Linked DNA regions of Coturnix japonica. Each later gene encodes a partner of the first gene's protein in a complex. Links are inferred from orthologs where the notes say so. Each region holds a gene or a part of one and is shown on either strand. Other genes may lie near its edges.

The links.
Region 2: the proteins of CRYBG1 (region 1) and PPP2R5C are in contact, whole or in part, in a crystal structure (PDB 6VRO), measured with the Homo sapiens proteins. The link is inferred for Coturnix japonica from reciprocal best matches to the Homo sapiens genes CRYBG1 and PPP2R5C. Residues at the interface, in NP_001358171.1 of Homo sapiens: Pro1136, Phe1138, Ala1139, Met1140, Pro1141, Pro1142, Ile1143, His1144, Glu1145, Asp1146, His1147, Glu1149; in NP_002710.2 of Homo sapiens: Lys183, Thr184, His187, Tyr190, Gly191, Leu194, Arg197, Ala198, Arg201, Glu226, Ile227, Ser230, Ile231, Asn233, Gly234, Phe235, Ala236, Lys240, Glu242, His243, Pro265, Gln266, Tyr269.

Annotation. Positions count from the first base shown.
Region 1 is NC_029518.1:61,971,962-61,987,197, reverse strand, and holds part of CRYBG1 (beta/gamma crystallin domain-containing protein 1), read left to right. Parts: intron 1-5,744; coding exon 5,745-7,213; intron 7,214-12,217; coding exon 12,218-12,268; intron 12,269-12,671; coding exon 12,672-14,130; intron 14,131-14,217; coding exon 14,218-14,394; intron 14,395-15,236. UniProt on the Homo sapiens protein: May function as suppressor of malignant melanoma. It may exert its effects through interactions with the cytoskeleton.
Region 2 is NC_029520.1:44,953,786-44,969,021, forward strand, and holds part of PPP2R5C (serine/threonine-protein phosphatase 2A 56 kDa regulatory subunit gamma isoform), read left to right. Parts: intron 1-2,376; coding exon 2,377-2,576; intron 2,577-6,202; coding exon 6,203-6,313; intron 6,314-6,915; coding exon 6,916-7,008; intron 7,009-7,105; coding exon 7,106-7,236; intron 7,237-8,436; coding exon 8,437-8,496; intron 8,497-9,454; coding exon 9,455-9,563; intron 9,564-9,710; coding exon 9,711-9,764; intron 9,765-11,727; coding exon 11,728-11,898; intron 11,899-12,371; coding exon 12,372-12,499; intron 12,500-14,044; coding exon 14,045-14,146; intron 14,147-15,236.

The DNA.
Region 1 (15,236 bases):
CTATATGCTCAATATAAAAATGTCTTATTTTGGCATCTAAGAAATAATACAGAATTTACACTTATTCTTTTTAGGAAGAACTTCTTTAAAGAAAGGGTAGTTAGGTACTGGAATAGGCTCCCCAGGGAGGTGGTTGAATCGCCATCCCTGGTTGTGTTTAAGAGCCGTTTGGATGTGGTACTCAGGGATATGATTTAGTGTAGGGTTTTTAGAGTTAGGGTACTGGTTAGGCTGTGGTTGGACCTGATGATCTTCAAGGTCTTTTCCAACCTGGGTAATTCTATTATTCTGTATCTCTGTTTATGAGCTTATCATTTCCTTTCAAAAATAAAATAAAAGTCAGTTAAACATGTACGCTCAATATTAGCGTTATTCAAGATGCTGTTGCAAAATGGTCAATTTTCAGTATATGTTTGAGCTACAGACTTAGTTTAACAGTGATCAAATAAATTGGAATCAGACAGGTCCTGTTCTCTTGAACATCTGTAGCGGAAAATAGGATACATAAGTAGTGTGTGGAAACAGACCACTGTCAGTACAAACTTCTATTCATTTAAGTTCATTCTGCTTCATAGTCTTGTTTTTATAGCTCCCTTGTTACTCAGATAAGCTCCCCGGTCTCTGTAACTGCATTCCCTGTATAAAGAGCTCAGGTAGAAGTGAAATTGTTAGAAACAGCAGTAGATGGATGTTATTCTTACGTAAGCGTACCAGTCAAAGAGTTGCAAGACGGGGGGAGTGAATTCCATGCTTGGATGAACATGTTATATTTACAACGTATTTCTCTGTGTCTGAAGAGGAAACTGTCAACCTGGAATCTGATGCATTTAAAAGAAATGCTAAAAATGTTTAGCGTGTGCGTGCCAAACCTTTGTTACTTGGAGGAAAGCAGCGTGTGGGGTAGAGTATTTGTAATAGTAACCCCTCTTTTGTGGCTTCGTGAAGGGTCGGCATAAACAAGGAAAAGTTATTTTAGTGAACTGGAATGATTCACATTCAGTTTACTGATGTTATTAAGCTAACAGGTAAAAGCAGAAATCACTTAGGTTAACTTGAAATATAACTGCTTTTTTTCTCCCTCATAATCACAAAATTCCCCAAACTGTTTCAGGTCCAATGGTTAAATGTTTTGTTATTTTTTTTCCCGTGCTTTTTAAATATGAGCACAAGGAAAACCAGCAAGCTTTCATTTGTGTTTACAACTCCCTCTTTCCCTCTGCCAGTAGATAGGGCACTCACCTGAGAAGTGGGAATGCAGGGGGATCTTCCCTCAGTAGCATTGGAAGCAGGATACTGAGTGGCTCTTATGCTGCTCAAGCTCTTCTCTTAGCTTTTCCTTGTATAGTTTTCCTTCTAGTCCTACTACTTTTCCAGCACATTTTGGCAGCAATACTCCAGCAAAGTTTTCATCCTAACAAAGCCTAGCACTGCTAATGTTGAATATTTGAGTCAATCACTGTGAAGAACAGTACAGTCCAAAGAGTAGTAGTTTATTTAAATGCTCTTGGCTAATGCACTTCTTGGTATACCATATGACTAATAGAACTCAGGCTTTCTGTTTCTCATGGTTTTAAGAATTATGATACTATGAATTTGAAGAGATCCAAAATTCCTGGTGTTCCAGTATTAACTTAGAAGGCTGGTAACTATAGTATCAGAAAGGTTCAAAGTAGAGGGGTATCAAAAGTTGGCATGTTACTTGAAATCTATGCTCTTCTAGTGAATGACAAAGCCAAACTTACACTTCACTAAATATTTGGTTTTTGTTTCTTGTTTCCTCTGAATGTTGACATGTGCTATCAAATAACACATTTAAATTGCAGGAGAGCTATCCACATTAGATATTTCCACCTATTAGTTACCACAGACTTGCTAATGACTAGTAAAGATACTACTTTTTTCTATAATGTATGCCCTAAGAAGAGTTCTCAGTCATGTTCAACTGACTCAGATGAAGTAATCTAGCAAAATAACACCCCATTGATCCCTCAAGACTGAGCCTGAAGCTCTGATTCAACAAATCACAGTTGCTTATGCATACTCTCCGCTGGAGACCAGCAAAGCACATGTTTAATTACTTGGTTAAATTAGGGGTTTGGCTGTGGCATCTTACGTTCGTTATTGAGAAGGAAAAAAAACACACAGAAAAACAAAACAGACAAAACAGAGGAAATATTTTGATGCTAACATAAAGAGGTATGAATATAAACACAAACAAGGTTTACATTTCTTGATTAAGAAGAAAGCATCCTGCTTTCAGATTAGAACACAACTTGAAAGACTGCTGCAGTCTTCTTGAAACAGCTTCCTGCATTCTGGCCAAGGACAGACAAGCTCTCCTTTTTTTTCCCCTTTCTTAAAAGTTGACTCTGCCATAGCCTTTGATGGGCGATTTCTGAAATGGCTCATTTCTCCATGCTGAGAATGCTTAAGGTTAAACACGCTGAAGAAACCTGTTCAGAGGAGAAAGGAGACTTTTTGCTCTCTGAAAATCAAGTATTTATTTGTTGTTCTCCGTCAAGTTGGGCCCGGTGTATTTGTATCCTGAGAACCTTGGTCTCTTTGCCCTCTTGCACCGGCAATATTGGCTCATCTACATTTATCTGAGTTAAAATACAAGCTCTTCAGGGCAAGTGCCTGGCCTTTTATGTGTTTTGAAAGAGCTGTATGTAATTAAAGTACTTTGTATGAAGAAATTACTTCAAAACAGTTTACATAGGGCAGCTATTTCAAGATCAAGCAAAAATATCCAGCCTTGTTCCCTGAGGAAACAAGGCTTATGTGACTGCACTGGCTGGCTGCCCCTACTCCTTTCCATTCAACACCTTTTGAACTTGTTGGACAGTTTAAACTGCATTTGAAAGGGGGAGACGTCTCAAAGATAATTAAGTTCCCATGGACTTTATGAAAATCAACCACTGGGAAGTGAGAAATCCAGATCCACAGTTCAAATAACTAATTTTTTCTTCCAAGCGTAATCTTGCAAACCCAAAGCTTGACTGCAAGTGTAATAATGGCCGTCAGGTTGATAATATAATCCCAGGTTATTTAGAGGACTGACAATTATTTTTCAGCTGAATAGTAATATGCAGATTGAAACCATAATCAGGTTAAATTTCCCCTGTTTTGGTCTTGTAGCAGTTTTTAACATGACTAATACAGTGCATCCTCCTCAGGCTTGCAATTACTATGGATTTGCAGAGACATGATGACTCACTGCTTTAATTGGTTGTGCAAATTTCTCATTTTTACTCTTTTTAGATAACAATGTTCAGTCCTTATACCTTCCTTCTAGTTAATTAGTACTGGCAATGCATTTGTGGAATAATAATAATAATAACAGATAGTAATTGGGATACGCTACTCAAGATTATTTTATGCGATAGGGAAATTCACGGCTGGTTTTGTTATCACAAAAGCACCTAAACTATCTGAGCTGATGGTGAGTCCTGATCGTGATCACTAATTTGCCTGTTTGAGAGCTGCTGGTGAGGTCACTACACGCACAGAGACAGGACTTCAGTGGTGGCTCAGTTGCTTACTGGTTGTATAAGCAAAATGCTGAAGAAAGGCAGGCAAGGATGGGGGGATTTTTGTTTGGTTGGGGTGTGATGTGCCAACAGTACAAATGAATTTCCTCTGAAGTTTTGGGGTGCTTGGGCAAACTTATTGGGCTGCATAATGTTAGACCAGCAACAGACAGGCTCAGTGGGGCCGTCCAGGACAGTGTTTTATAACTCCTCATATTTGGAGGAGTTTTAGAACAGAAGCCAGCAGCTGTTCTGCTGATTATGCAAAAATAAATCACCTACTGCGCAAAAAAACGCCCCATCTCTTACATTACCCCGGAGGGTGACTCGTCGTGGGCCGGGCCGCAGGGGTTGACCTGGTGTCTCTCCGCCTCCGCGCCGGTCCCGAGCAGAGCTTTACGCGGTGGTCCTTCCTGACGAAGCTGTTCCACTTCATTTAAGTCATTAAGCTTTAATTAGAAGAGGACTAGTTTAGCATTCATTAAACATTAAATACTAATTGAGCGCCCGGGGAGAGCGCCGGCACCATTAAGCAGCGGAGTCATTCTCACGCCGGCCCGGCCGGGGACGGGGCAGGCAGGAGGGGGAGCCGCCCGGGCGTGGGGCGAACCACCACCCCGCGCCCCGCAGCGCTGCCCCAGGCGGTCCCGGGCTGAGCCCACGACAGCGGGTGTCGGGACGGCAGCGCCGCCTCGCCTCCCTTCTCCGCAGGTGGGACTGCGCGCAGCCCGGCCCGCCTCCCCTGGCACTCGTCCTTCAGCATCGGCAGCGTGTCGGTTTTGCCCGCGGCTGCGTTTTGCCCTCAATAACGTCGCGGCCGCCACCGCACCGCCCGAGCTCCTGCGGGACGAGCACCCGCTCGTCCTCCGCCGTCTCTAACAGCTCCCGTCCGGCCGCTCCGTCCCCTCCTCGCCGTCCGGCGGAGGCGGCCCGGCCAGGTAGAGCCGCTCGGCCAGGTAGAGCCGCTGCCCGCGGCACAGGCGGTGGCTCGGGGCGGGCCGGGGCGCGCTGCGGGGGCGGGCCGAGGCGGAGCGCCCAGACGGCCGGCGCCGAGGTAGCGGCGTGCCGGGCAGCTCCGAGCCGAGCCGGGCCGGGCGGTGAGTGCGGGGGGCCTCGCTCGGCGGGGCGGGGAGGCGCCGCGCTGCGCTGCGGGGCGGCCGGGGCACAGGGTTGGGTGAGGTCCGACTTCTTTCCGCCGTTCGCCCCGTCCCGGGCAGTGGAAGAGCGGTGCCGGACTCGGGGGCTCGGGTGCCCGTGGGCGTCCCCGGGGGCGGGGAGCGGCGGCCGCGCTGCCTCGGCCGTGCCGGGAGCGGGAGCGATGTCCGCATCCAACCCGCATCCAACCCGCAGCCGTCCCGTGCCCGGGTGTGAGCAGGGCGCGGCGCTGGGAGGGAAGCGGCGTCTGCGGGCAAAAGGAAGCGCTGAAAACCGTGGAGAGCATCGGGAAGGGCGAAGGGACGGAGTAGGAAATGTTGGTGCTGTTTAGAAATCCACAGCTCCAAACACGTATTCATCGTGCCGGCATGCAAAAAGTGTTAATATGTTAATATGCAAATAGGCTTCTGTGTTCGGTAATGCTATTGCGTGTTTCCTGTTTACCATGTTAATTAGAAGTTGTAAGGGAAAACTTCACGGGGAGTGATGCAGGGCAGCGTTTGACCCGGTAATGCTCGTTGAATGTTGCAGTGGCTCCTGTTGTTTGGAGCAGATAGTTACAGGGCTTAGTTAGGAAAAATGTAAAAAATGAAGTGTAACTTACGCTCCTTTCTACCAGAAGCAGCCTCTGAACTGTCAACCAATATGGACAGTTCAACTCCACGCTGTGTTTTTGGCAAACACCGTGTTGTGATTCTGAGTAAGCAGCCCGTTTCCCCCAGCCCTACTGACTCCAGAATGCTTTATTACTTCAGGTGGTGTTAACTAATTGTGTAATACTTTGAGATCTAGGACATACAAAGCTGGTGTTGTAGGGCAAGTTAAGTGTGCTTGTAAACAAACACAGGCAAACACATAAGGAGAGTCTTGGGATTCTAATTGTGTTTTGAGTTTTGTTTGTTTGTTTTATTAGAACTAGTATCATTTGGTATGTGTTTTTCACTTTGGTTTTGTTTTCTCATTCATCGTGTCCTTTCAAATCCAAGATGGAATTAATATAGACGTGCTTATTAAAGAAACACTTTTGACCTTAACCAAATGTTTTGTTTGTTTTCATAGTCCTCCTCACAATTTCCAGATTGTTCCAGAGAAGAGCATAAAAAGAAACCGGTTTTGGAAAGACTTGGAAATTTGTTTGGTACGGGGAGAAGGAAGAATGTCAAGAGTTCATTAGAACACACATCTCATTGGAAAGGAGAGAGATCGGTTTCGCCTCACACAGCTCAGCCCATTTACTGTAAACATACACAGCAAGGTCCTGAATCTCCTCCAGTACAGAAGCAAGTGAGAAATACGAGTGTCGTTCCTGAGACACAGGAGTACAGTTTCAGTGGGGAAGTAGGACCTCTGTACCACGACACCATTTCAGAATGGAGTGGTCGAGGAGTCTCCTCTGACAGCGAGTGGTCACCAGACTGGAGCAGCAGCAGTGAAACAATTAAAAACTCTTTCTTTGAGAGTAGCTTGAATGTGGACACCCGGGAACCAGAGAAGGGGTCTGTCACAGATATAAATAATTCCACCACTCCAGATTTTATAAAAAGCTTGAGGAGTTTGTCTAGCGAAGACTTAGAAAAGAGTATCTTAAGCCACAAGCATCTGGTGAACACGTGGGTGTCTGAGGAGCCCGGGCATGCAAAGCCAAAGGATTTGCCATACAAGCTGGAAACTCTAGCAAGTGAACACCCACAGCCTGCTAGAGTGCTAACAGTTGATATTTATCTTAGAAAAACAGACGAACTCCTTAATGAACCCGTGACTGTTATATCGGAAGAAAATTGTGGTGACTCAGACACAATGGATAAGAAATCTTCTAGTAAAAGGTCTGGGAAAAGGAGGAAGTCTCAGTCATCCAGTGACGTTCCAAATGGAGAGAGAAACCAGACTGAGAATACCGCAAGAGAAGATTCTGTTTTTGAGGACGATGCGTCTTCTGAGGGGGTTCCAGACAAGGTAATAACCTCTGAAAGAAAACTGAAGTCTCCTCAGCAGACTCCTGAACGGAATTCCTTTTCTTCAGGAAATAATCCGGAACTAAAACCTGGATCTGCTCACAAAGGCACGTCCAAGACTGAAGCTGACAAAGGTAAACAGCAAGCCTCAACCACAACCCCTGCAAGGAGAAGATCTTATAAAAAGAATCAGTTGGATGCTGTTCCTACTTCCCCCACTGGTTTGAAGAGTCAGATGAAAGATTACTCCTCCAAAAGGCAACCTTTAGCGTCAACAGAGAGTAACACAATGACAAAAAGAACTTTGCAGGAAAAAGGGGAAGATAGCTTGGAGTCTTCCAAAGTCTCATTGGCCGATAAAGCAGAAGACAACACCGTGGTGTTTGCTGAAGGCAGAAATGAAACCAAGACAGACAAGCATGGTAATGATTCTGATGGAAGAGCTTTCTTGCGTACTGATAAGATTAAAAATGGAGACCTATGTATGCCAGCTGAGAGACAGACGAGTTCTGATTTAGACAGCTTGAAGCTGAAGAGTTTGGATGCTTCCAGAATAGTCACAACAAAAATTAGCCTGTAAGTAAGATAACTACAGTTTACCTTACTCTCGTAGCTGTAATTTTGCCAGCATCTGTATTTAGGATTATATAGGAGTGCTGGCTATATATCTGCTATCTAGATTATTTTCAATTAAGAGCTGTTTCTTTTAATCATATTTACACCTCACTAACACTGTGATATGCATGTGTTAAGAGAATAATTTGTGTCTAGGCTGTTTCTTTCTATGCCTGTCATGTTGTATAGAATAATTTAACGTGTAAAAGCTGCTCTGCTGTCATCATTGCCCCTTTTGTTGCTCAGATTAGCTTGGCTCTCATTGACCTTCAAGTGGTTTTGCAGTTTGTAGCTACTGAAAGATCCATTTGAAGATTTTGTACTCTAAAATCCCTGCCCAAGGAAGGTGTTCAGGTTATTCTTTGAAGAAGGAGCAGTTCTGCTCAGCAGTTATTTTACAAAGAAATGAAGGATGCGGTTGTAGAACTTGGTACTTCAAATGATGCGATAAATCTGACTCCAGAAATCTGAATGCATTTAGCTGCCTTTATAAGTACTTGCAGGACAAAGGATGTAAATTCTTACACATGGGATGTAGATCAGGCGTTTGCAGAATTATACATGTGTTAGTTTGCATGATTACTTCTTAAGCAGTTGTTCTCTGTCAGGCAGATGTGATCTATGCTTTCCTTAGGAAGATGTGGGTATATTTGGTACTTGCAGTGTAATCATTAGTAGGATTTCAGCTACTGATTTCCTGGACTCCCCCATGGTTTTGTTCCGTGAATCATTTTATTGTACTCGTCATTTCTATTGTTTGGTTTTCATGGGTATGTAATAGGCAGCATTGCTTTCCTCTTTGTGGTGCATTCACTTGTAGGCCGTGTCAGAGTCCACCTGAGGTACACTGAGTTCAGAATTGCCATTCACTTATGCTAGAGGTTCATGAAAGCATTGAAGCTTAACAACTATATATACTTCCAGTTACGCTTCCCACATCTGCAAAGTTTAGAGATAACAGGAACATTTTCTTTGCAGTTTGTGAAATGCTACCTCTGATTTGTACCTTTTTAACTGGATTGAAAACGCCTCATTCTGATAGTTAAGTTGTGGTGTTTTGCTACATGATGCTGCTTTGTCATCTGGTGACAGAGCTCACAAATGTTCAGCACTGAAGTTTTGTATCTTTACAACTTTGAATGCAAGTAGTCTGCATATTTTTCTCCATGTGTCACTACCATTAGCAATGATGAAGTTACAAGCACTTGCATGGCTGGATTTTTGTTTGTCCTGGTATCTGCTTGGCTCCTTGCATAGAGAATTATCTTCTGCTTTGCTCTTACAGTTATAGACAAGTACCCCTTCTGACAGCCTTCATTTTAATAGATAAAAGCCTGTTTTTTCTCGCCTGGCAGTGTGGACTGTGTGCTGCTTTGCGTTTTGACCTTATCTGCTGCTCCAAGAACTTTAGCCCAGGGTGGGGACTGCTGCGTTCAGCAGGTTCATGATGCTTCTGAAAGATACTGTTGCACAGAATCACACCATTTCTTCAGCCTGATAAATGGATACAGTGGGATTATCTGCTGTAATTTGTGGTCATCCTTGAGGGCATGTGAGCTGTAAACCTGGATGTGAGTTAAGTTGTAAAACAGGAAAGGAAAAATATAATGGTGGTATTAGAAGAAGGCGTGTTTCTGTTCTCTTCTTACTGCTTGGGACTAGGGATCGGATGCTTTCTCCATTTTTTTAAAGGGAAAAATTACCATTAAATACTCTACCTGAAACTCCTTCAGTTTGAAAAGTACTGGTTCACTCATGTGAATAAAGATGGACAAGGAGAGATTCATTTCCCTCCTATAAAATCAATTTAGCATAATCAAACCGATTTTCAATTAAAGAATGCATGACGTCTGTTACTAATGATGTGGTGGTACCAATTCTGAGGATTGAGGTTCTTTAGAAATACTCCTTAAGAAGCTGTTTTTGCCAGTTCTCAGCAAGTAGCGATAGCAATTCCTGTCTGCTCCTTGCATGTCTGTGTACAGTGGAACTTGAGAGTCATGGGATACTTTTGCCTTTAGCTTTTCAAAGAGGAACTTACTAGGCCTGAGTCTAAACTTAGGTTGATGGTACCTCACTCAAAACTCATTCAGCACATAAAACCTCAGGCAGCTGTTAGGATTTTGCTAAGCACGTCAGCCTTAGCTTTAGTTGTCATTTTTGACTTTCAGACTTGGTTTTGTAGCTGCCTTTGTGTGCCTATGCCCACTTGTTGAATTCTTCTGCTCTGTTAACATGCCATTTTACTTTGCTTGCCTCAGTCTGATGTTTTGGCATCAGTTACGTGTTTGATGAGGACATTTGAACAGTATGCTTCAAGTATATGAGTCACCTTCAATTTATGACTATATTAGAGGAGATTTAACTGCTTGCTCACACAGGTTAGCTGCAAGGTATAGCCTAAGAGAAGGACATTGGTATTTCACTTGTGCTTGCCTGTTCCTGGCCAGCAATGGGTGGAAATGATCAACTGTATCAGGCTGTTTATAAGGAAGTGTCTGTACCATTATACGAATCCATCTTCCAGTGGTTTTTTTTTTCCCCCATGCTGCAGGGGGAAAGGGTCCTCGGACAGCTTCTCAGTTTCTTAGACAAGCTTAGAAATTCAGTACTTGCAAAGAGACACGTCCTTCAGCTATATTTAAAATCAGTCTTTCTCAGTGTGGAACATCAGCATTCCTCAGTGGCAAAATGAAAGGCTTGGCTGCACGTGACGGGTTGTGGTGGACGGAGCTCCAAGGCTGAGCTTTTCGTCACTCTTTAGCATCTGTTGTTTGTCTGCTGCTCTGCAAAAATGCTGCAGAGTAAAATACAGGTTGCTAAAGCTGTTGTTTGTGTGTAAATTTGCAAAGCTTGAAACTATACCTTTGAGGTGTTAGTTGCTCATTGTCATAAGTTTTAGGTGTGGCTGATAACTATCAGTGTTAACCATTGCGCTTGCTTGTGTCAAGACTTACAAGGAAAGAAGGATCTTATTAGGGAGATATGTATTGTTTGTTGTGTTGAAACACATGTAGTAGTGCAAGTGACAGACTGACGGGAGGATGGTATGGAAATGAGCCTGTTAAGATTACCAGGTGCTAGTGATACCACTTGAAAATACAAGTAGAAGGAAAGTGTATCTTCTTCCTCTAATGCTTCCTTCTAGCAGGTGGCAGGTAAGCCCATGCTGGGCAATACTGGCTTGAAACAGCCAGTGTGTCAAAGGAGAAGGAAGGGGTTTTTTGCTCTTGAAGAAGCTGGGCCTTTGTGGTGACTGGTACCTCCTTCTCTCCTTTCAGCTTGCTTTCCCCAACACAAGTGATATTTCACAAGATGGAATGAGTCTTTCAGTGTACTTTTAAGACAAGAATGTCACTGGGATATGCCAAGTACATGTAGAAGCTGAAGCACTTTGCTTTGTTCAGCAGAGAGAAGGATATGAGTAGATCTCACCATTATCTCCATAGATGCATTAGAGAAGGCAGAGCAGTTTCTCCTCTGATCTTTCAATGAAAGGACAGCAGCCTGATTGCAAGTTGCAACAATTAAGTTCAAATGGAACATGAAATAAAAATAATTCATAGGGCAAGTGGCTGACTTTCTTCAGTGCTTCCCTAGCTAGTAAGAGTGCAGATTTTCCATCCTTGGAGATGCTCAGCCCTTGGCCAGACAGAACCTTCAGTGACTTTGATCTAACATTGAAGCTGCATCTGCTGAGTGCTGAGATGGACTAGGTGACCATCAGAGATCCCTTTCAACTTGTTTACATTTCCAGGAAAGAAAGAATGTGAAGTAACTTAACTTTCCAAAGTTACTGCAAATGAAAACTAGGGTGTAGGTATCTTGAAATGTATTATCTAATAGTTCCTCACCTTGTTTGCCTCAAGAATATTTTTCTTTTCCTGCTTCCAGACTTCAGTTTTCCAATTACTTTTTATTTAGCTTCTGTTTGAGGTACAGTCCGTCAGGTGTTTGTAAGTTCACTATTTGCTATTTTTAGTTGTCTTGTGTTCTTCATAAGAACCTTCCAGCTGAGAGCAATTTGAGCAAGCAGTGAGCACTGTCAGGAAGTCTTCTCCTAAAATACTCAGTTATTTCAGCAGTTACTTTCTGTTTAGTTTCTTAGGCGGCTGATCTGGGGTTCCTTGTGTTACCACAGTAAGTTTGTTCCTTGTGCTTTTCTCAAGAAGAAAAGCTTGTACAATGAAGATGTTCTGGCAGCATTTACTTTCTTACATGGACTGAGTTTCTTGAGGAAGAGGGGGAAGGAATGGATTCAGTTTTTACATTTGTGTTAATTCGGTTGTACCTCACCCTTCTTCACTTGACTGAAGAGCTGTGTCACAGCTCAGTGAGTAGCTGTGTAGGTGAAGAGCAAAACCAATGAGTACAAGAATTATTGATAGAGCATGTGAAGCCCCTGCAAGCGAGTTTCTTTAATCTCCCGCCCTTTTAAGATTTTGTTTCTGTGCAGTCTGTCACTGCTGGATTCCTCTGGATTCCTCTGTGGAGAGCGGGTCTGACTCTGACGTACTGGTGGGCTCCTTACTTCTGGCTGATACATTTTGAAGACATGCCTTGTTTCTTCTCAGTTGTTCATATACCTGCAGTAGCAGGTGACGTGGACAAATGCTTCTCTCTGGATGTAGATACTCAGATGAAGGAGATTTTAAACTATCAGCTGTGTGTCACCAGCTTTCTTCAAGTGATGTGTGCTGTAGCCTCATAGTACGTGCTTTTCTATCCACTCTCTTAAAGAAAATTTTAAAAGTATTTCCCAGTTCAGTCCTTGTAAAAACAGCAGTTAGTGTATGCTATTTAAAATGTTAGCTGACTTTACCTGAGGGAAATGGGAGAGTCCTCCCATGCAGTGTTGGCTTAATCTAACAGTGATGAGCAGTTGCAGTGGGTCAGGGACTGTGATATTTTCTACCAGCAATATCCAGAAGAGGTTTCTCACTTGATTTGTGATTGCTTCTGCAGTACAGAGACTGAAAAGAATCTGGGCAGATGTCTTCAAAACTTGTTGGAGAGGTATATTCTAATGTTAACCAACTCATTATCACCTTAATGAATTGGGATTTGTTTCCTAAACTCTGCAGGGAATTGCATGCGTATAATTTATTCTGCCTGTTCTCTATTAAATTTTAATTTCTGTCAGTCATAAGTTTGCCTCATTTGCAGATGCTGTAGGCTGCTGTGTTTCTGCATCTTTGTTTTGCTGAGCATTAAAGAATTGCTTACATTTGAAATGTATTTTCCTTATTCAGTGTTTGATTATTTTGTCATCTTTAATTCCTTTTGAGATACTGAAATTTAAACTGATCACGACTATGGGAAAATGATTTTAATGCTGCATTTTATTGCTTTACAAACTGTTACAAGTCTCTTCAAGATTACTGAAAGATGTAACTGTGTATCACTTTGCCTCCTATAGTCCAGCCAAACCGAAGAATGTAGAGCTGAATTTTAAAGCGCCTGCAAATCAAGACAGCTTAGAAAGTGAGCAGGATACTCTTGAAAAACCAGTTAATAAAACTAACAACAGCATTGCCAACAAAATTTCCTTGTTTGAAAATAAATGTGCCAATCAGAGCCAGAGGCCTACTGATATCTCTGCTTCAAAAAATAGTACTGTACCAAGCACGTTTGTTGGTAGAGCAAAGCTGATATTTGGAAAACAACCTAAGGAAAGTGAGCAGCCTGATAAAACATTAAATAAACAAAACAGTCGCCAGAAGTTATTTGAGAATGGCACAGCAGAGAAAGATAGCACTGCAGAATTAAAAGGCAAAAATGAAGAAGGCTCTGCATCTTCCGAGGACGTCGGGAAAGGAACAGAGCTTAAAGTAAAAGCTGCAATATCCCTTTTTAACCAAAGCAGCAAAATTGATGCCAGTGGTGCCTCTCTGAAGCAACCTGATCCAGAATTAAGTGCAGTTAAAAAGGAAAGTTCTCCTTTTAAACCGTCTTTGCACTCGCCTGTTAAAAGTGAAAGTGTTCATGATATTTCCTACCATCAAAATAACACAAGCTCAGAACTCCATAGAAATGAAGAGAAGGTACCGCCAGACACAGAGGTCTTATCAGCCTGTAATGGTGATAAATATCCTCTACAGTCTCATCAGCTTTGTAGACCAGAATCTCAGAAGGTGGAAAATGGTGATAAAAATGCAAAGCTGGGAGATTTGACCTCTGCATCACAGCAGTATGATGATGGCAGTCTTGATGGTATATTGGTGTCGGAGCACAGCAGTAATACTCCAGAGAGCCCAGGCAAAACTTGTAATGGCTCTGCTGAAGACGATGCTGTTTTTGATTCTCCAACCGACATGAAGAAGTTTGCTGAAACAATAAAAAACTTGGACAGCTCAGTTTGTTTACCACAGAAGAAGAAAAGGTCAAAGCTTCCCAAGTCTCCAGCACCCCACTTTGCAATGCCTCCGATTCACGAAGACAACTTAGAGAAAGTATTTGATCCTAGTGTATTTACCTTCGGTTTGGGACTGAGAAGGGAAAAAGCACAGGATCTGTTACCAACCCAACAAATGAAAATACAAAGTCTGGAAACTATAGCCAGAGTCAGGCCCAAACGTGCATCAACAGAGCAAAGTATAATATTCAAAGCCCTTCAGTCATGTAATAGAGAGGAACCTTCCTTTACTCAGGAAATAAATGGAAAAGAGAACGCGGATGGTACAGATGGTGAAGTTAAGAGATCCCGTCTGGAAAAAAGCTCACTCTTCTCGAGTTTGCTGTCATCTACTTCTAAAGAAAAGTTTCTTAATCCTTCTGTGACCTCAGTAAATAACACAGCTTTTATGGCAGACTCCTCAGGGATACCTTCTTTACAACAGGATGCTTCTGGGCCATTCAGCCTGCCTCAAAAACCTGAGGTAATAAAAGATGAACAACATTTTACGTGGCTACATTTCATGAGTTGACTGTTGAATGACTGTTAATTTTTTGTTTTTGTTATCCAGTCTCTTTCAGATATGAAGTTTCCAAGTTATATGGAGAAGTACATACAAGCAGATAGTGCAAAAAAAGAGCTAACTTTACAAATGCCTAACTATGGGAACCCAGAAAAAAATTTTTCCAGCTGGTTAGGGGCAAACAGATATGAATCAAATGTCCCCACTGGTTTATTAGATGTAGATGTAAGTATTATGCCATTGAAAATCTACCTTGAAAGTTACCGCACATAGCTTTTGTTTTGTTTCTTTTCACAGTGGGTTACACATAGATTACAACTGCACAGAATGAGCATGGGTGAAGTAGCAGGTTCATCTGATGTTTGCTACACATGAAAATATGATGTGTGTATGGCATCTCTTAAAATGATTATGTTTCTCTGTGATGCCTTTATTCCAAGACTCTTCACGAGTAGGGATTGAAAGGATACATTTGAATATGTCTTCATGCTTCTTCTTCTTTTTTTTTATTTAAACAAATCTCATGCATCATCTACTTTTAAAGTATTCCTAACAAATGAACAGTAGCGTTTATTGAAAGAGCTGCTACAGAGGATGGATGCCCCTCCATTTGATTATGAGCATCTGTTCACCAAGACTGAAGGTAGACCTGTGTTTTCCTTCAGAGCCAATTTCACCCCAATGTAAAAACTGATTTCTGTTCTCAGAATTTTAAACCAACAGTATTTGCTGTTTCTGTAGATGTTGGTCCTTATTGTTCCAGGAAGAGAAATAGCTTCCAAAGTTTGATAGCCATATTAATGTGATCTGTGGAATTGAAGCAGCATGTAAGAAACTTGAGCAGCTCTTTGCTAAAGCAGCAGATTATCTGCTGTTACAGTTCTACTAAAATGGCTGGGGAAGTAGAAATAAGTGTACACCTTGTGGAAGGAAATCATCCATTCTACCTTACAGTTTTGAAGATGTTGATTTTCTTTCATGAGAAGTTTTTAATTAACGTAGGGTTGAAAATGAGGTGGTTTACTTGCAGCGGTGCTGGCTCATACTGCCAGTTCTAAAAGAGTTCT
Region 2 (15,236 bases), on another chromosome or scaffold:
TTCTAAAAAATAAATAAAATAAAATGACTTAATAACAGTCCCTTCAGATGTCTGTTAACCTAAACAGCTAAAATTTGGAGGTTGAATAGGAAACTGATGGACAAGTCACCATTTAAGCCAATTCAAAGTAAATGGTGAGTTAGGTGGTTTGCCTTCTGGGAGTACTTCTTGACCTGCTTAGTTGTCAGTCTTTCGTCTCAGAGGTGAATGGTAATTATAGCTTTAGTGCTTCCTCTCCTTTCAGGTGATGGTAATTGTCTGTCTGTTCCGTCTAAGCTTGTGGTCTCTGGTTATGCTCTGGATTTTGTGCACTATAGTGTAGTATCCCTAAGTGAAATCATGGTGCTGTGCTTCAGGCTAAATCACTTTCCATTTTACAGTTCACTTGGAAAAGGTAACCTCTCTAACCACTCTGTGTCTTGTTTGGAAATTCAAGTCGTACAGGTTACTCCATAAACTCTTCCCAGGAGGAAATACTCATTAATTTAGTTTTTAATCTAAATAGAAAAAAAAGAAAAAACATATGTATCAAGATGCAGTTTGTGTGGCTTAAAGTACTTCAGAGTCACTTGCTGTGCTTTACAGAGCTTCTGTTTTATTTGTTAGAAAGTTGTTGACCTCTTATCACCTTCATTCTAATTCTTGACTTCTTCACTATCTTATCAACACTGAAGTCTTTAACCAATAGTGGCTGACGTACCCTGACTTTTTGTTGTTCTGTGTGTTCTTTGGAGCTATTTTTCTACAGATTTTCTTGTCTGAGGTTTGAGTTTCTTCAAAGTTCTTCAGAGCAATTTAGTGTACGTAGCTTAAAGAAAAATGCCATTTTAGACCAGTTCATCATAAAGGCTTATTATAGCAAAAGTGCTTTTGAAAGCAACTTCTTTGAGAAGGAAGAGACAGCTCCAGCTTGCTGTCTTAAGGATAAGCTTGTCAAGTGTTTAAAGCAGAGCTACTCATTGCAGTACCTGATCAGCTGATCTGCAGGCATTGATCAGGCAGTCAGACATTCAGTTCATTGGTTCACATGTGCGTTTGTTAGGTGTGTGCTTATGTTCAGTAGTATCACTTGAAATCTGTTGTTTGACGAGGGCTCATTTCACTTGTGTTTAAGAAAGTCTTTGCATTCTGTGCTATGCTACGGGAGAAGAAATGCCATCAGCTGGAATAAGCAGAAGTTGGCACTCTAGTTTTATTTTGCCTTTTGTCATGCTATTTATGACTCAGCAATTCATATCCAACAATAATTAAAAACAAGAAGTTGTCATGCAAAAACATAAAATGTATTAATGCTGCCAATTTAAGCAGGATTCCTGTCTTAAATTTACTGCTGTCGTTATTAGACCATTTGAATTGAATGTGGATTTTTGCTGCTGTCAAAATATGGTACTGTTTTCTTTACATCTCACCAGTTTCTTAAGTTTTCCTTAATTATTGAAAGTTAATGTCCAGATTCCCCAAAACTTTTGCTATATGTACTGAACTGTAATGTCGTGCATCAATTGTTTTAATTACTCAGGCAAACAGTAAGGCACAGGCAGAATAAAACAGAAATATATCAGAAATATAAATACATGGGGCTATGACTTCACTGGTCATAGATACTCCAGAAAAGAAGGGGAGGAAAAAAAGTTGGGCAGAAAGGGACTGGAGTCTTGGAAGGAAGGCGAGGAATAGAAATGTTACTATCCCCTTTAGTTAATACATTTTTGTTACCAGCCGCACCTGAATGATGATAAATTGTCAAAGCGACTGGTTACACAATTTGATTTAAAACTTAATGGCTTTTTTTTAATGTATCTTATATTCAACTTGGCGAGAGCTGACAGTGTTATTTCCTTGAATATTTTTTGACTATAATGTGTATCAGCTCCTGACTTGCATTTGGTGATTGTGATCTTAGAAGACCGGCGATCAATCGTATAATCATTGAGGTTAGCAAAGCTGTCATCTAATTTGAAAAAGTTGAAAAAGTGACTCATTGGTTTCATCTGTTGGTGAAACTGAAAATCCAGCAATGTATTTCTTCATACTCAAGGAGTATTTCTGTGGATGCAATGTAATGTTTTGTACACAAATAGAGCTCTTTGGGAAATTCCCCAAGGCATTTTGTTTCTAAGTATGTGGGTTTTCTTTCCATGCAGTACCTGTTTCTAGCAAAGGCAAGCGTGCATCACTTTGCAATTTGAACTCATTCTATACTGTTCTGTATTTTATGAAGTTAATATTCTGGATCACTGTATTCCTGAAATTTGTTTGAAAATTCAGGAAGTTTGCTCACAGTGACCACAGTGGCTGTGTGTCTCAGGGAAATAAAAGTGAGTAGTGTGAAGTCTGCTGCAATGTAACTTATAACCTGTTATTTTCACTTTTCAGATGTTCCTCCTGCTGATCAAGAAAAGCTTTTTATCCAGAAGTTACGACAATGTTGTGTACTATTTGACTTTGTTTCTGATCCACTAAGTGACCTAAAGTGGAAGGAAGTAAAGCGAGCAGCTTTAAGTGAAATGGTAGAATATATCACACATAATCGCAATGTGATTACAGAACCTATTTACCCTGAAGTAGTACATATGGTAAGTGATGGGAACCAGTCTGATTATTGCGTTGAATTCATTGTTCTTTCTTCAGCTCTGTCAATGTGTTTTAAAAAACCTTACTTTGAAATCCTCAAAGAAGATCAGCTGCCATCTGTACATCAGCAAAATGGTAATATAAATTGTGTTTTTTTAAATCTTGTTTTGCCATTATTGGATTCTCTTCTTTGTATGGTAGAAGTTTGGGTACTGTTGTAGTTTAACCTGGCAGCAGCTCAGCACTATGCAGCCGTATGTTCATTCCCTGCTCCCTGTGGTAAGAAGGAGAGGATTGGGGGGGAGGAGGGAGAAGAACTCAGGGGCTGAGATTAATAGGACAGAAAGGAAGGATAAAATAATGGTGATGATAATGAAGATAGTAGTAATGATATGTATGTGCATGTGCACAAATATAAGAGAGTGTGTATGTGTACAGTGCAATTGATCTCCACTGGCTGACTAATGTCCAGCCAGTACCCAAGCAGCTACTGCCCCCTAGCCGGTTTCCCCCAGTTTTTATAGTTCCACATGATACTGTATGATGAGGAGTATCTCTTTGGCCAGCTTAGGTCAATTGTTCTGGTTCTGTCCCTTCCCAGCTCTGTGCACCTCTAGAAACCTCACCTTTTTTTCCCATAGATGTATTTTGGATTAGATGTTTATAAAAACTGGGGAAGTTAAAAGTGACTGGTTTTTAAAAGAAACTGAAAATTTGAGAATATTTTTTGTAAGGTGAGAATTCAGATCACTTGTGGAAGCTTGACACCAGCACCATTGGTTAAAATTGAATTTTTATTTTTTTTTAAATTGATATTACATAGGAAATAAATTTGTGTTTTATAAACAGATCATTTCAGTAGTTAAAGCAGTTTTCACTGCTACTTTTCACATATTCTGAAAATGAGGTGACATACTCAGTTACAAGCATGGGGAATTTAAGTGTTATTTCTGGTTATGTGGGTAGGGTTTTTTTTTGTTTAATTTGATACTCAGCATGGAATGAGAGATTTTACTGGGAGTAAAAGTGTAATATTTGTGGCTCTGCTTAGCTATTTGGGTGGCTTTGTTAAAATACAGAGAATGCAGGCTGTCAGATTACAGAGTTTGTTATTCAGAGCCGTTCACGTCAGGCTTCGCTTCTTCTGAGCAGTCCAAGTGAAGAGAAGAATGTGTGCCATGTTCTCTCTGTAATGCCTACTCACTTGAAACTTTTCTGTAGCATTGCAGAAAATGGGCCACCAGAAAAACAGCGACTGTGAAGCTGTAAAAGTGCAGCACACTTGCCTTCTCTTTTTTTGTGATTTTTCTTCTGTTTAACAGAAGAAGCTGGAGTTCCAAGTTGTCTGAGGAAACGGGAGTTCCAAGTCTCATCATCCCTAGTTTTTCTTGGAAGACAGTTGGCTATTGCAAGTTTCTGCCTTTTTTAAAGGCAGGTTGGAGGTTGCTAGTTGATTGATATCCATGCTTTTAGAATATCTTTATAAATATCAGTTTTCTTTCTCTGAAAGAGCAATTAATATGCTAGCCATAGTCAAAATCAGACCTGCATCCCTGATGTGAAGGAATACTCTGAGGAAAACAGAGCATGAAGATGATGTTTCCTTCATGGGAATATGATGTAATTCTTGCAGATTTAGCTTGTGCAGTTTGATACTGCCTCCCACTGTCTGCTCTGCCATCTGTCAGATGTGAGAAGGCAGAACAGTGCTTACATATACCAGTTAGTAGATAATGTTACAGCATTATTCTAAACTGTGAATGGAGCTGATAAATGATTAGCAGTCATAATGGGAACAGGGAAGCATGCCTGCCTGCTGCTTTTCCCGGAGTCCCACCACAGATAGGTGGAGTAGATTCCTCTGGAAAACAACATATTTAAACACATCTAGCTTGATTTGCCAGAACTTCTGGATCGTCTTCAAATGATGGTTAAATAAACTTTGATATTATTTAAAAAGAAAAGAAAAGTTAAAGAAGACCACCTTATAACACACTGAGAAGAGGATAAAGATGTGCATTTGGCTCCCTTATCATCTGAAAATTTGACGATTACAGACGGATAATATGCTGTGAAGAGTGGAATTTAAGTGTAATACTTGGGTAGACTTGTAACTAGAATATAAATAAACACAAAGTGTTGCAACCATCAAATATCAGTAACAGTATATAAGTAATCTTTTCTGATATTTGTGGTACACATTTAGAATGGAGTGTATGTATGCCGTGTGCTCATGTTCTATGCAGCCAGCTGCAGCTGATGTGGTAAATCATCTTGTGGATATGTCATAGTCCTCCTTTCAGCATAGCTTACATTCTCATTGTGAACAAGTGTCTACCCAAGTTTATTTTAAAATATCTTAGTATTTCTATAATGAACAAAGTGATTTAATTTGTGAGTTTTAAAGCAGAGCGCTGTGCAGTGCTTTAAGTAGGAATAGCCTTAAAGAGTTTCTGAATGCAGCCTGATACACTCAGTAGTTGTGAAAAGGTAGAAACAACTTTTTATTTTGGCAATTCCTGCAGTGTGTTCAGGCTGCTCAGAATACTGAGGCATCTGTATCAAAGGATCAGCCTGAAGCACTAGAGGTGGTTTAGGACCATAGTTTGAGTTGATCTGTATATTCAGAAGTTAGTTGAGACTGGTGCTGGTTTGATACCAAGTAAGCAAGCAATAAAATAGAATAAGAAAGACTTTCTTGGATACACGTACTAATAGACCGATAAATAGATTGTGTTTTTCTGTTTACTCATCAATTTAGGTGTCTTACAACTGCCCTTCTTAGTCTGCATTACAAGTGGATCTGAGGAATGAGTCTCTTCCAGTACTGACAGCCGTAGCTGTCTTTATATTTACAGATGAAGACTCTTTCTGATTTTCTTACTGGCATGCACAGAAACCTGTTCCCTCCAACTTGCTCAGTAAAAGTTAGGATAAGTAACTGTCAGTCTTCTGATCCCTGCTGTGATTCACACGTTACAAGTGTGCATCTAGACGAGCACTTGGAAGCACAAAAATGGTGTATATCTGTGTGCACACACACCTTGAGAAATCCTTGTAGTCTGCTCCGCTTTCTTGAGGATACTGAGCTGCCCGGTTAGATGGGTGTGGGTTAAGGGAAGTGCCACTAGGAGAGGAAGGTCAGAATTTGGTTTTGAGGTATTTCCACATCCCATATGCCTGCGGTGTGAAATGAAACTGGTAATAATTTACATAACAATGTCATGGAATCTTTGCTTTGTGTCTCTGGCTCTGACTTCTGCTTTTGAAGGCTGCAAATTCTTTTCAGGTGTATATATAAATATACTTGTCTAAACCTTTTATAAATATTTGCTTGAGTGTTTAAAATGAGTGTGTTTATATGTGTTTGTGCGCAATGAGACAAAGATGCCTTGCCAATAAGTTTGTACTTTAAAGAGTACTACGTGGAAAAGTGTTCTCTGAGTTTAAAGTCTTCAAAGAAAATTAAATGTACTTCATTTTTCTCTAAGTTACTGAGTTATATAGTTTGCATATGCCTGAAGATATTAACTAAGTAGGCTGTGTTAAGACTTCTCAGTCAAAATCATCTTTGAATTCTTTTTTTAATCATTCACTTCAAAGTTCTTAAAAGACCGTGTGATTTCAGTTTGCAGTTAATATGTTTCGAACGTTACCACCATCTTCCAATCCAACTGGAGCAGAATTTGATCCAGAGGAAGATGAACCAACTTTAGAAGCTGCATGGCCTCACCTGCAGGTACTCAATGAAGTGTGGGATGTCATAATCTAACAGAATTTTCACATTAGATCCATTCTTTATTGATTCAAAATCATACAGGTTCTGTCTGTCTCCTTATATCAACTAATCTCTCTACAATATTTTAAATAAATCTTGAATTTACACTGATAATCTTTTCACTGGATGTCAGTGTTTTAGAGGCTGAAGGTTTGCTGTTTCTTGTTGTATGGATGTAACTGCTGTGATTTTAGATGAGCTTCAGTTTGACACTAAATACTTTGATCTGACTCAGTTCTTGCTTTGAGAGGTACTGTGACAAACATAGAACACAGTTTTTAGAACACTTCTGGGTAAGCTGAATATTAGATTATGTCACGTGTGCAGTGGAGCTCAGTAGAATTTCAATGTAATTTAAAGAACATCAGCTTCTTATACTAAGTAAAAACATGCTGCATTGGGAGCAAAGCTTTTATTGTATGTTATGTGAATAAATGAGTTCTATACAAATACAAACGACAATTCTGGGCAACTAATTGGGAATTTTGGTAATATGCTGGTCATAAAATGTTTTGTTTTGTTTATAAGACTAATGATATTTTTTCATTGGACTTTTTTTTCAGCTTGTTTATGAATTTTTCTTAAGGTTTTTAGAATCTCCAGATTTCCAACCTAATATAGCTAAGAAATATATTGATCAGAAGTTTGTATTACAGGTAAGGTCAAAATAACTTTTAAATTCAAGTTCTATATACGTTCTCTTGCAGTGCATTAGATTCAGTAAAGTAAATCTTTTCTTTTCCCTCCTTGCAGCTTTTAGAGCTCTTTGACAGTGAAGATCCCCGGGAAAGAGATTTTCTTAAAACAACTCTTCACAGAATATATGGGAAATTCTTAGGCCTGAGAGCTTACATCCGAAAACAAATTAATAATATATTTTATAGGTATGTCACTGTCTTTTTCTTGTGGGGCCTTTGGTCAGATAAACAGCTAAAGACTGCTAACAGTATCTTGAATCATATTTAATTCTTAGTAACTTCGTACCTAATACTACTGCATCTAATGGAACTTGATGCTAACCTGAGAGATTTGAATTGAAGTAGCCTTGCACGCAGCATAAATTTGGCAGCCAATATTTGAATTATGTATTTGATGTGTGGTTTAATATTTTTATCTGAGACTTTTTTCTTATTGTGTAGTAGTAGTCATAGCTGTAATAGCACTTGAATAAAATGTAGTTCTTTGTAATGTAGAAATAGCAACCCAAATGGAATGACAGAGAATTTGACTAAAGGAGCATATTTACTGCCTTTTCTTTCCTCAGACCTAAGATGTTTCATTCTTGGTTGGTGAAAGCAGTTAATTAAAAGCAGCTTGTTAGTGTGTTGGTCTATGAGAAGTTTGCAAATGGAAAATAATTTTCTACTAAGTGAAATTAATAATACTTTCTAGTAAGTGGGGAAAAAAAACATTATTTTCAAAATACCTGAAGTTGTGCGTAGAACTTTCTTGACAAGTTTATGCTTAAGCAATTGAGAAGCCCATAAGAAAGATAATTGTATAGTAAATTACAGTGTTCTTTCAGAAGAAAATTTATGAAGATGTGATTACTTCTGCTTATTATTGAGCCTTTTGTGTGCACAGGAGCCTAATACCAAACAGCTTTTTAGTTCCATAAGTAGTAACTGTTCGAACACTTTGTGCTTGCATGTGCTGTAGAAGGTTGAGTCATGGCATTTGATTGTGCCAGATGTTCTGTTATTTTAATATTAAAAGCATTGTTTGCTGTGTTTTGCATTATTGAAATGACACAGAGTATGTATGATTGTTTAAAAAAAGCTGAAATGCGTGCACTGTTGTTAAATGTGAGTGAAAAAAGCAAGCGTGAAGGTTGAAGGCAACTTAATGTGCTTACAGAGCGTGCATATCTTGTAGAGAACAGAGCCATCAAGAACACAAAGTGCCACTAGGTTTAGAATAGTTACCAAGACTGCTTAACTGTTTTCATGGACTCCACAAGGTTTATTCTCTGCTGAGTGACTAAAACCTGAGAGGTCAAGGCTACCTGCCATGTTAGATGATCATCTGTGGTAGGTGTATTTCTCTGTTCACCAGAAACTGAGTGAAACTTTTCATTTTTTTAGGTTTATTTATGAAACAGAACATCACAATGGCATAGCAGAATTACTGGAAATACTGGGAAGGTAAGTTGTAGATTTTGTCCAATTAAACTGTCTTGATCTTTAAAGGAGACATTAGATATTCAGCTGGGGATTGCCAGTGATTACAGGACAAGATGAAAATAGCTTCCTAGCATCTGGAGAGATTTAACTTCAAGTTTTGTATAAGAGTGCAGAAACTGAGCAAAAACTTCAACTGCACATCAACATTTTTGGGATGTGATAATTTTTTTTTATCATTTAATTTTCATTTTCTACATTAGTATCCTTGTATTAAAGATAAGCTGCAGTGCAGCAGTAATTACATGTAACAGTTGTAATTTGTTTAAAAATTCATCTGACTTCACTAAATATATAGCAGGTAAGCACAGAAAGGGTGGGAGAACCTTCTTTTAATCTCCTTTAAGTGAACTTCAGTGATGTGTCTGACAGCCATGGAATCTAAGTTGTACAACACGAAGCTGCTAGACTACTCAAAGCTGGTTGTTTTATCAGTTGACTTCTCATCCAGAGATGCAAGCTTTTTAATATAAGTATGTGGAAATACGTTTTAAAAGCATTGCCAGTTTTATTTTACAGGGGTTTTTATATAAATGTTATAAGTTTTATGGCACTTAATAGAAATTTGCCTGTTAAAATTGTAGTATATTTTTTCTTAGATTTTTCTAATCAAATTTCTGGTAGCCAAATTAAACTTCTGTGCTGTAGCTGTTCTGTATTGATTTTTGTGATCCATCAAGGAGTTTCATACAAGAAGTTGACAAAGAGCTCCTTATGAGTAACAGGAAAGGCAGCTCTAACAACTCCTAATTTCTCAACAATATGTGTCTGTTATAATCCTGTAACATCAGCATCAGATTTCTGCAGTGATTGCCAAGGGGGGTTGTCTAAAAGTGTTTTAGCAATCCATGTATGTTTTCATTTATCTGCTTAACTTAGGACCTCTGAAAGACTTGGGCTTGTTTTTTTTTTCTCCCGACAGCATAATTAATGGATTTGCCTTACCATTAAAAGAGGAGCACAAAATATTCTTATTGAAGGTTTTGTTACCACTTCACAAGGTGAAATCACTCAGTGTTTACCATCCACAGGTAAGATTTGCTTGGCAGTTCTTTTAGTAACAAGAAGTACAGAGGTCTGCTATGATGGCCGCCTCCAAAATTAGAAGTACTTCTTCACCAATTTCAGTGTGTTCCATCTCACAAGAAGTGTTAATCAAATCTTTTCTTTGATTTTAGCTGGCGTACTGTGTAGTTCAGTTTTTAGAGAAAGACAGCACGCTTACAGAACCAGTAAGTTCATTTTGCATTTATTATTTATTTGGGGGATACTAACATCCTTTTTTATCAGTGGACTGTTTAAGGAGGCTTGGAGAATGAAGTATTGATATGTAATTATTTTTATTAGGAAGAGTCAAATGTTTAACCATTTTGACATATCAAATGGATGTATTTTTCTGCAACGTTGAAAATGATTTAATAAACCTTTCAAGGTATATCTTTTAGGAGCAAAATTGAGTTTACTCTGCTTATTTTGTTCTGGCTGACTCTCCTGAAGACAGCTGATCCACAAAAGCAGTTCAGTCAGATATTTACGTGCCTGAACTGTGCTCTGTTGTGAGGCTGATATTGCGCTGGCACACCGATTTTTGGCACGCATAGCTACATACTGATGCAAGACTTTTGAGTCAGATCCTGTTCTCCTTTTGAATCAGATACTAACTTTGGAACATAAACAAAACCAGACTTTTGTCTGGCTGCACATAGCTGCATACCTAGATGAATACTTTTGATTGTCCAAAATTGAATATAGTGTTTTGCATCACTAATCCAACACATTTAATTGCTAAGCAGTGATTAGTGAATGATTGCTTCTAACAAAAGTGCACCTTACTGAGTTAAACTTGTTTCCATTGTAAGCATGATTCATCAAGCAGTGTGTGACTGAGCAAGAACTTTCTTCTGCTTGAAGCTTTTAATGTTTTAGTTATGAAATTCTGGTCACTCTGTTATTCACGTTGTGTGCGGTCTTGAGTTGTTAGCTTTCTTTCAGGCATCAGTTATGGTGCTACATGTTTGCTAGGACAAATTTGAACAATCATCTGAGTTTACTTCCTTTTTTTTAATCCCAAATCAGTACATAATGCTTACATCGTTCTTTTAATCTCTTAATGTGTGATGCATGTGCTGGGTTCCTCTTCAGAAATTCTGGTTGAGAAACACGGTTTTTTTATATGCAAATTGTTAAGAGATTTATTTTTTAAAAATCTTATTAAATAAAATCTGCATATATTTCCCAAGGCTTTGTTAAGGACAGAGTGTCTACATTGGCATTTATATGATACGTATAAGGAACATACATTGATTTCTCACTGAGTTATCACTTCATTGAAGTAGAATGTTTCTTGTAGTTTATAAGAGTCCAGATTTATTATTTAAGAATTCCATCTATTTCAGAAAATAAGCATGTTCCTTTTTTCTAAACGAGAAAGTTTGGTGTTTGCAACAATCCAGTAGCCATCCTCTCAGTGTTTAAACTGCATCAAAACCATATAAAAGCTTCTTCTTAAAAGAATGTAGTTTTGTTTTTAAGTTGAGCCATCTAATAGACTGTTTCCTTTTCTATATCATATTTTATGGATCTCTTAATTGTTTTTCTTTGTTCCTCTTCCCCAACTTGTTTGAGGGTTCATGATTTGCTAGGCAAAAAACTACTTAAATGAGCTGGGTAAGTAATTTAATCATGGAGCAAGTTAAGGCCTAATTACAGTAATACAGTCAAATAAAATTTAACAGCAGTATACCTGGAATAGTCAGTCACCTGCCAGTTTGAGTATTTATGGTAAGTCTTTGCTTAAAATATGATTGAACTTCATTACTTGAGACTTGAAGAACACCTTCAAGAAATAAGAGGTTGAGCTATTGTCACTTAAGTGGCAGATATTTTTCCCCATCACGTAGCTGCAAATCTGCCCTTTGAGTTGGTTATCATATTGAGACGTATGTCAGGTTCTTTCTTCAGTTTTCTAATTATTTTTAAACAGATATTTAATGTAAAACTTTCTTCTGAGAAAATGTTCTGTAGCCATAGTAGCAGTTATTTATGTGTCACTGAACCATATCTCATCATTGCTGTTATGTGGGACAAACATTTGAGGGCTTTTTTTCTGTTCAGCCTTGTTCAGACTTGTTAATGAGAGATAAGTTAGTACAAGACTTTTTGATTATGAGAATCTTGTTCTTTTTGCTTCTACAGGTTGTAATGGCACTGCTGAAATACTGGCCAAAGACTCACAGTCCAAAAGAAGTCATGTTTTTAAATGAGCTGGAAGAGATCCTGGATGTGATTGAGCCATCTGAATTTGTGAAAGTTATGGAGCCTCTTTTCAGACAGTTGGCCAAGTGTGTGTCCAGTCCACACTTTCAGGTCTGTACATACAAAATGCACAATGCAATGAGGATTTTTGAAAAGCAATTTGCTATTATTCACCATGCTTAACTTCAGTTGTTAAAGAAAGCCTTTGCATCTATGGCAAAACTGGGGGGTCCGAATGTTAGCCTTACTGTCTCTTTTCAAGAGTGCAGTACTAGAGTTTATCTTAGATGATTCACTTAAAAATATTACCCTTTAGCGCTTGTATTTCACTTCTTGAAATTGAGTTCTACTGATAGACTTACAGGGGAGAGCATTTCTTGGACTGCTTGAATGGTTTGAATCATTTCCTTGTTGAGGAAAAAGCAGTTTTCCTCTCTCCATTAGTTCCATGAGTAGCTTCTAGTTCATGCTTTAAAAATCCAAATCTTGTTTGCAGTTTTTCTTACGTGTCACTTGTTTTTGCCAAATACTTGCTTTTTAAGAGATTGTTTGATGAAGTGTTCCTTTTTCCTGTGTCATCTTAGGTTGCAGAGCGCGCATTGTACTACTGGAATAATGAGTATATTATGAGTTTAATTAGTGATAATGCAGCAAAGATTTTACCCATCATGTTTCCATCCTTATACCGGAATTCAAAGACACATTGGAACAAGTAAGAAACATTTGTACAAACAAAATTTTGCTTTTTTTTTTTCTAGTTTAGCCTGAAAATAGCTCAGAATCCTCTCTTTGAATAGTATTAAATGTGTTTAGCTCTTTATTCAATGTCATCAGGGTTGCAGAGTAAAGAGAAGATTACTGTTATCACAATGTTAATTATGAACATTATAACCAATATAAGCAAAAATTGTAAGCAAGAAATGAAGAGAATGGAGTCTTTCTTCCATTAAACAAATAACTATATTTTAGTATGTGTAATCCATGGCATTTTTATTAACGTGAGAATAATTTGTCATTAATCTCTAATCTGGGTACTTCTGAAGAGAAACTTGATTTTTCAATCTCTAGCCTCTTTGCTCATTTGCATTTAATCTGAATTCTAGTGGAATATGTTTTAGATTGGGTCATTTTGTTTCCTTTCCTTTTCTTGGTTTTTTTTTTTTCCCCCCCTTTGTTTACTGTTTTCTTTCTCCATAGACTGTTTTCACTTTTTTCCCCCTGCAATAACATAGTACTTACACATGAGGACAGTCCTGGTCAGCTTCTTTCTGCAGCTGTTCCATTGTAAAGGGCCTCTTTGTTTCTGCTATGGCACAACTGCTGGGATGATGAAAGTATCCACAGTCTAGTGCTGGCCATGAACTGCGGTCTGGCAATGAGTTAGCTGAGAGCACATACTGAATCTACCTCTAAATACAGGAAAAGAAAGGCAGATAAAGTGATGTTAGTGATTGATAAGTATCGCTCGATGTAAGCAGTAACAAATAATGTATTAAGAAGTGAAATTTTGGTTCAGTGATACAACTGCATAGAGTAATCCATATGATTTTTCTGGCTTTCAAGGCCATGTGTTCATTTTGTTCTGAGCAGAAGTGGTGCTACCCAATACAACTGCGCTTTCACTGGCAACTCACTTGTGTTACAAAGTAGTCACTTAACTGATTGCGTGCTGTTTGCTTTTAATGATCAACACTAGATTACTCACTAGAAATTGTAAAATGCTCTGTAAAAATAAGTGCTTCATAAGGAAAATTTTTGTCGTTGTTTTCCACATCACTTTTCTAACACTTGTCTAAAGAGGCCTGGCATAATTGTATTAAACTAAGTGCTGTTGCTGTGTGGCAGTTCCCAATCTGAATACCATCTTCTCTAGGCTCCTTATAATCACTCTGTTGCCAGTAGGTTTCTTATTTCAAAAACTGTAACACTGTCTTGCATTTTCTTTAACAACTTGAGTCTGGTTAAGGTCAGCAAGTGCACTTCAAACCTAGGCCTCTTGGTATCCACAGTACTAAAAAATGAAGTTCATGAAAAGTATACATGACAAGTAGTACTATAGAGTAAGTAAAATGTTAACTTTAATATTGTGTTAGAACTTTGGAGGATAAACTGAACCTTCCATTAACTAGCATTGTTTCCATTTGTTCTGAAATGGTGTAATTTTCCAGTTATGTAGGCTATTGGCTTCTGTTGACCAGAAAAAATAGATTTCAAAGTTTAAAGTACTCTGAGTTTCAACCAGAAGTTTTACTTATAGGACAATACATGGCTTGATATACAATGCTCTGAAACTCTTCATGGAGATGAACCAAAAACTGTTCGATGACTGCACACAGCAATTTAAAGCAGAAAAACTGAAGTAAGTTTTCGTGTCAGTGTGTCTGTCTGTTCTTGAATAATTTGTTCAGAGTGCTTTAGCTCTGAAAAGCTGCCGTGTCTCTACTGGGAAGTTGTACCCACTTAATTACGGTACAACAGTCTCAAAATAAACTTGGTAAAACTTTTCATTACATGTGAACTGTAAAATCTTCAGAATGGGGTGCTTCCTATAGTCTTTGGCCTAATACTGCTGCATATCACCTTCTTCCTTAAAGCTAGTTTTTGGAAAAGGGCACTGCTAATCATGGAGCCTGCTGTAAATGATCTGCTGAAGAGTTCAGTTGACATCCTGTGTTTATTTTTTGCATGCTGTATTTACACAATGTTATTTTCTCATGTTATCACTCGATCCTTCCCAAAACATTTTTCCAGTATTTTTGACATTGCGTTGTACATGAACATGTACAGGTTTTTCTAGAAATTATCCAACCTAAAGTTGTTACTCTGTTACAATGCGCTATTTGCCAGAAGAATTGTGATGACTGTAATGTCATCCTGCACAGGGCAGGCAATTAGAAGCTAGAATTTTTCTGGTAAATGCCCAAAAATGAAGCTATATTTTGTACTCGTAAATTTACATCTCATAAACCTGCTGTTCCTCTGGATCTCAAAATGATTTAACAGATTGGAAATAGAAATCAAATGTGTGAATCATTTGGGGCTTACTTTACAAACTGGGAGCATGATTAAGAAGCAGGTATTAAAAATATCTGGATTTGAATTTGATTTTTAATTCCTATGTGATTAAGAATTCCCCCAGATAATGTTTCTAATTCTGAACCCATATTAAAACGATATTCTGAAAGGAATATAGATTTCTAACATAAATAATCTTAAATTTTGGGGCTGCTTATTATAATTCAAGTAGAAGTGATGAACTTGTAGTATTACTTTTTTTTTTTTTTAATATGGACAAAAATGTGAATATTTTTTAAAAGAACAAAGGCTGTGTAAATCTGTTTTCCCTTATAGCAAATGAGTAGTAGTCCTTTTATTAAATCAGAAATCAATCATTTCTCCTTTTCTTCTGTTTGTTTTGAGTTTGTTATTATTGGGTGGGGTTGTTTTGT